Linked DNA regions of Saccharomyces cerevisiae S288C. The gene in region 1 interacts genetically with each later gene. Each region holds a gene or a part of one and is shown in the gene's direction. Other genes may lie near its edges.

Region 1 (3,758 bases):
TCAAAGAACTCGAAAAAGAATGGGCATGTAAGGCGACATGACTTTTATGACGAATCTAGAGACCATAAAAGTTGTTGCCCGCATCATCATTATGAAAACTTATCCAAACTACGAAACTACTATTATCATGATTTTGAATATATTTCCAGAACGGAAAACCGTGTTCCAGATTTCTCTGTCCTAGTTAACGAATCAAGTCCCATGTGTTTATTTTGCGAGTACTACATGGTGTTTGGTGAACCACCACGTAACATGATAAAGTGGTATAATCGTACGTTTGGTTACAATCGTATGCCGAATCCACCAAGAGATGAACAAGATAGTAGGAAAAGGAATAGATAGTCAACATTATTACTGTAGGAATAAAGTAGTATAGGGAACATTACATAATAGAGGAAAACTTGTGAGGAAAACTTGTGACATTCTAAACGTATTTAAGAGTTATTGAAAAATTAATGGTGTACGACAATATTTCTCTTTGAATATTTATATGCTTCTTAGCGGTATTATGACTAAATAGTAACAGGAAAAAACACAAGTAAATGCAAATGGGTTTACATCAGTAATCCTGCCGGTCCATTTAGCATATATGTGGTCGAGCTGCCCCATGCGGTGTGGCGTTTCTCCTTTCTTGATTCATATTCATGTAATAGCATGCACATGCAAGTAAGTATCTGACTATCCCACGGCACATTTTCAATGATATTAGAGCCCATTTCAGTATAATTGGTAGATGTTAAACTAGAGCCATCATCAAACGAATCAGTTTCTTGTAAGTACAAGGTAGCTACTCTCAAAGTTCTTTTTTTCGGTATGACACTAACTTTATCATCTGTGTATCTGGCCCATACTGGGAGATAACCCAGCGGTCTTGTGGGACGGGAACGGCTGTAAGAATCAAACTCTTCAATAGTTTGTTGGTTCATGTAGGATGCCATCGTATCATCGAGTACAAGTAGGTTGATGCTATTTGAGCCAAAAGGTGAAGCTAAACTAGTTGTCCCGTACCAACGAAGATTTAATCCATGAATTGCCGTATCCGCATTTTTCCTTTGATTGTAATTAATCATGGGGATATGAACATCAGGTTCATCTTTTCTATGAAATATAAAATCGTGCTCTACCCTGCTCGAAAAATTATGGCTTTCCATTTTTTTTAGAATAGTGCAGAATTCATATTTATATATGGAGACATTTTCGTTTATTCGAGAGACCACTTCTGAGTTTAATGGAGGTTTATCGCATTGGGAGTCTATCATAACGTATTTATATATCCTCATTACCGGTGTATTTTGATCACTGAAAAGCGACTTGACCAGGTTTAAAGAAATGGCGTGAAATAGGGGAAGTCCTAGACCCCTCTTTGGATCAATGTTATCGAGCTTCCTCTTGTTGTGTAAAAATAGCTGGAGAGATTCTTCACTGGGGAATGCAAAAAACCCTCGTTGTAGTAGCACCGAAACGAATGGCATGGCTCTTTCTGACGTGAATCTTGGGGCTCTGTTAACATAACCCTGTCTTTGTAGGTCTCCAATTGTTGAGCCTTCTGATACCGCTGTATTCAAAGTAGCTGCATCCGCACTATCATCGCCCTCGTTGGCAGAGGTTTCCAGAGATTCATTTTCTCGTGCAAATATTGTAGATTGGTCGTCTCCATAACCATTAGCTCCCAAGAGATTGACGGTGGATGGAGACCCACTGTGAGGATACGGAGGATGTTGGCGATTATGTCGGCGTCCCCGGCGATTTCCAATCAAAGAGCGTACTCTATCCATGCGGATCTTTGGCAAATGTATGTAGCACTTCTCCTATCGTTCAATTTGATGCTCTTTCTTTTCCAAAAGCCTTACTTGTTCTTCTTCTTCACTAGTAGTGAAGGGCTTTAGAGATGCCCAGAACCCAGACCATTTTAGACGCGTTATGAAATAAATATTGCGCTGAAAATTCAAACTTCATAATAAACAAAAATCATTAATAGTTTTGTAATTTGATTTACTGTTATGGTGATGCTATGTTAGTGTGAAATAGAACAACAGAAACGATGGGCTTGGACCAGGACAAGATAAAGAAGAGGCTTTCTCAAATAGAGATAGATATCAACCAGATGAACCAGATGATTGACGAAAATTTACAATTAGTTGAACCTGCGGAGGACGAAGCTGTCGAAGATAATGTCAAGGATACGGGTGTGGTCGACGCTGTAAAGGTGGCAGAAACGGCTCTTTTTAGTGGCAATGATGGAGCGGATAGTAACCCAGGAGATTCAGCTCAGGTTGAAGAGCACAAAACCGCACAGGTCCATATTCCCACTGAGAATGAAGCGAATAAGAGTACGGATGACCCATCCCAGCTATCGGTTACTCAACCTTTTATAGCGAAAGAGCAGATAACTCACACCGCCATTGCTATTGGTGACTCCTATAATTCATTTGTCGCAAATTCCGCTGGAAATGAAAAGGCAAAGGACTCCTGCACTGAGAACAAAGAAGATGGTACAGTCAATATAGATCAAAACAGGGGTGAAGCTGATGTTGAAATTATCGAAAATAATGATGATGAATGGGAGGATGAAAAATCGGATGTTGAAGAGGGGCGAGTAGATAAGGGAACAGAGGAAAACAGTGAGATTGAATCTTTCAAATCACCCATGCCCCAGAATAACACCTTGGGCGGTGAGAACAAGTTAGACGCTGAACTTGTATTAGACAAATTTTCTTCCGCTAATAAGGATCTAGATATACAACCGCAAACCATAGTTGTAGGAGGTGACAATGAATACAACCATGAGAGCAGCCGTTTAGCTGATCAAACACCCCATGACGATAATTCAGAGAATTGTCCCAATCGCTCTGGAGGAAGCACTCCCTTAGATTCTCAAACTAAAATTTTTATCCCTAAAAAGAATTCTAAAGAAGATGGTACCAATATAAATCACTTTAATTCAGATGGTGATGGACAGAAAAAAATGGCGAATTTCGAGACACGACGCCCTACAAATCCGTTCAGAGTTATCTCGGTGAGCAGCAATTCCAATTCAAGAAACGGAAGTCGTAAATCTTCACTAAATAAGTATGATTCGCCAGTCTCCTCTCCTATCACATCAGCGTCTGAGCTGGGCAGTATTGCCAAGCTGGAAAAAAGACATGATTATTTATCCATGAAATGCATTAAGTTACAAAAGGAAATTGACTATCTAAACAAGATGAATGCACAGGGTTCTTTATCTATGGAAGACGGAAAGAGACTACATAGAGCCGTAGTGAAGCTTCAAGAATATCTTGACAAGAAAACGAAGGAGAAATATGAGGTCGGAGTGTTATTAAGTAGACATCTGAGAAAGCAAATTGATCGTGGCGAAAATGGCCAATTTTGGATTGGAACTAAATGATTACATTACGCCAAGGGTTGTTATAAATATTTATAAATTAAGACAGATATATAAAGTTAAAATAAATACCAAAAGAACATAGACAATCGTAAGAGAATAAGAATCCTTTATCCTAGAGCCATCCATCTGTTATTTTTGATGTTGCTGACTTTTTTTCTGATAAATTCTATTATTTTAATAGTAAAGAGGTGAGTATTTCGCCTAAACGTAAACAAAACGATAATAAAAAAAAAAAAAAATGAAGACAAAATGTTCAGATAGTCAATTATATTGTAATAACATGAAACGGAACAATAACAGTACCCAGAATTCAATTTCAATGGCGTTGTGTCTTCTTTTCTCTAAGAACTTTCATAAACCAAGTCGTACT
Region 2 (3,476 bases), on another chromosome or scaffold:
TTCATCTATCCATAACGATACTGAGTCTGCTAACGATAGTAGCAATGGCAACGGAAACCTCGGTTTGGGTACAGAGTCACGCAATACATTGTTAACGGCAACTCCCATTGAATTAATCTGCCGGGAAGGCTTCTTCTACCGGAGAGATATTCCGGACGTTCCCATTACCACAGGAGCGTACCTGGAATTTAAATTCAAGGCGAAAGAAGAGGAATTGATCAACTCTAGCATCAATGAGGAGGATTATGCTGCTAAATCAAAGCATGAAAAAATGAATGCGCATTTCTTCAAGCCTGATATTCAAGAAGAGACGGAACTTGCCTTTGAAATTTTGAGCAAGACAACGCTGACAGAGAAATACGTTAACAGTTTGGAGTACTTCTTGATGGAATTCAGGTGGGAGAATAAACTAGTTGGTCTAGGCTTAAAACTTCGGGAATCCAAAAGAACCTGGCAAAGGAGAAAGGCGTTATTTGCCCTTTTCGAATTTTGGAGAGACCAATCAAGAGACAAAAGAAGATTCCACAACTACACCATCCTGCATGCGGTGAAAGAGATGGAAAACTACAGAATATTTATTAATCGATCCGTTTCATGGTTCTACAACCATATTACCCTGCTAAAAATGATCCTCTACGACCTCTGCGACAATGTGACCACTCAATGGAGAGAGTGGATGTTTCCCCATAACGAAACACTGCCGGCATTGGGTCAGGACGGCATTAACGAAGACAATCTGAATGAAACCATCGACAACATGTTAATTTTTGACTTCCTTGATGACGGTTCAGAAAACAACCAGGTCAAATATTCCAGAATCATACCGCCAGATATCCGTTAAGCTGGTCCGTACGTTGGGGCAGTTTCGAGAATAGATAAAAAAATGAAAAATAAAAAAAAATAAAAAAAACACAAAATAATGGACCGTTACTATGCCCAACCAAGTAACCTCCCAACTTATTTGGAACATTACATATTTAGCGCTTAACATTACATACATATTTAGCGCTTAACATTACATACACCTTTATCGACGAATTTGTAACTATTTCTTACTCTTGCGCTGAGGAACGCCCCAGTCGTACAAAAGCACCTCTGCATACTAAGAAACTTAAACTATCGCCATTGTCTCAAAATAGCAAAAAACGCAAAAAGCATACCGCTGGGCGCTTATCTATATTAACCTACACGAGAAAAGAAACATGATTGACTGCGTCAGATTCAAAAACCTGCAAAGTTTGTTTTTATAATTTTGGCGTTCAGCAAGCGCGCGGCTCCGCTCCATTAATATTCCAGAAAAAGAAATTCCTTCTTTGGGTGTTGTGTATTGCTACTTTGGGCAGGCGCGACCGGGCCAAAAGAATGCGGCACCCGGCAAAGACGCGTTCTGGCCCCTGAAGACTTAAGCACTGGAATGGCTCCGAGGATTGGTCACCCAGAAACAGGTGCAGACCAACCATTTCGAGATCTAGATGTTGCCTATTTCTCGAGGAAACGCTGCCGTTATCGCCATGTTTGGTGGAACAATTGTGAAACGTGATCAATTCGTGTTTGCAAGCTAGTGATCATTCGCATCCGAAAAAGAAACTGAAAATGTAAAACTCCAGTAAAACGAGACCTGTTGATGGATTGTTTCGTGTCTGGTATATATTATTGCTACTGCTCAAGAGAGCTTCTTTTTTTATGCTATCGAACTCGATCTTTCGCTCCGAAACACCTAACACTAACAAAAGGAATACCTGACAGAATACGCTATCAAAAGAACGAATATGACTAGTGCAAGTATTACCAATACTGGAAACGAAACCATGAACCTTCCACAGATGCGGTCGATTTGGCTGGATGAAGATGAAGAAGCTGAAAAACTCTACGGTCTGCAGGCCCAGCAATTCATGGGATCTGATGATGAAGAAAACCTAGGCATTACTTTCATCAACAGCGATAAACCTGTGCTGAGTAACAAGAAAAACATTGAGTTGCCTCCACTTTCACCAAATTCACATCCGTCTTGCCACCACAGGAGAAGTAATTCTAACTCTGCAAAGTCTAAAGAATCATCGTCATCATCGTCCAGCGCCAACAAGACAAATCACAAAAAGGTTTTCCTTAAGCTTAATTTGTTGAAGAAAAAGTTGCTTGGTGCCCAACCGGACATAAGAGGTAAAGGTATCTCCACACCATTTGATTTTCAACATATTTCACATGCTGACACTAGAAATGGATTCCAAGATGAGCAATTGCAGGAACCTTCATCGCTGTCCACAGAGATTAAGGACGACTATACCTCCTCCTCAAGCAAGCGGGATTCGAAATCACTAAATAAAGCTTTTGTCACTGAAAGGATCCCTGCTAATCGTGAAAGCAAACTCATTTCAAGATCGCACGAAAATAAGACATCAAGACTATCAGTCGCGCGTTCGATCTCAGTAACGTCCTCCAATTACTCTAAAAACACACAAGGAAACAATCATTCCATTAATGGGAGAGTCGTATCTACGTCAACTATGGCTACATCTATTTTTGAGTATTCCCCAAACGCATCTCCAAAACAATTTAAAAATAAGTCACACGCTCTGGGTCATAGATACACTAATTCCACGGATTCTAGTGAGTCTTCGCTGGATTTTTTGAAGAACTACAACTTCCCCACACTACTTGAAGATAAGCCTATTTTAGACTTCTTGCCTCGTTCTCAGAGGTCAAGCGCTTATCGTAGCCTTTTAGAGACCCCAAACTCAAATAAGGACTCAGCAAAAGCCTTCTTTCCTTCACGCCAAAGCCCTCTTCCCAAGAGAAGAAACTCTATAGCTACGCCTTCTCCACAATCTAAATTTTCCTACTCTGACTCCCCTGTAAACCATAGAAAATCTTTCGATGATGTTCTTTATTCTTTCAACCAGCTCGAGCCCCTGCAAACTTAAGCTAAGGACAGAAAATGAAAAAAAAAAAAAAAAAAAATTCAAAGAATCAGCTTATAAAACATATTCAAGGACCATCTGAAGTATCATTCATTCGTTTTTTACTCGTTAATCTCATTCATTCGTTTCCTCATTCTTTTTTCTTTGTTCTTTATTTCGGCTATTTTTTCACTATTAAAATAACTAGAGCTAACAATATTATTTCTTCTGCTTTAGTTACAAAACAAGGACATTCATTTAACTTGGCGTTATCCCATACATTCGTTTATTATATCTTCTTTTAAAACACAATTTCTTTTACAGTTAAACTTTTCTGATTTATTATATATTACTTAAGATTGTTCATATAACTAACATTTATATGCTTATATGCGTGAAGTGCGCTTTTGTAGAACATGTGGCTGTTTCTGTAGAAGCCTTGTCTTTCTCTGTAATCCTTTAAAGGCCAACCGTACGTGCTTAATTACAAGCTTTGTTCGCATTGCAAGAAAGTTAGAAAAAAAATCAATTCTGAAAGATAATTATAATTCAAACGGTAAACCATTGGTTAAAAGAGGG

What was found. Genes that interact genetically often act in the same process or in processes that back each other up.
Region 2: mutations in BNI5 (region 1) and GIC2 impair growth when combined (synthetic growth defect), as found in Saccharomyces cerevisiae (one study listed by BioGRID).

The regions. Positions count from the first base shown.
Region 1 is NC_001146.8:321,849-325,606, reverse strand, and holds BNI5 (Bni5p), read left to right. Parts: upstream 1-2,041; coding exon 2,042-3,388; downstream 3,389-3,758. Other genes in the region: IBD2 (Ibd2p), read left to right, coding at 1-342; YNL165W (uncharacterized protein), read right to left, coding at 555-1,775. UniProt on the Saccharomyces cerevisiae protein: Required for normal septin function and cytokinesis. Its recruitment to the bud neck by CDCd11 and SHS1 ensures efficient localization at the bud neck of MYO1, the type II myosin of the actomyosin contractile ring.
Region 2 is NC_001136.10:1,078,493-1,081,968, reverse strand, and holds GIC2 (Gic2p), read left to right. Parts: upstream 1-1,769; coding exon 1,770-2,921; downstream 2,922-3,476. Other genes in the region: SUM1 (Sum1p), read left to right, coding at 1-841. UniProt on the Saccharomyces cerevisiae protein: Required for cell size and shape control, bud site selection, bud emergence, actin cytoskeletal organization, mitotic spindle orientation/positioning, and mating projection formation in response to mating pheromone.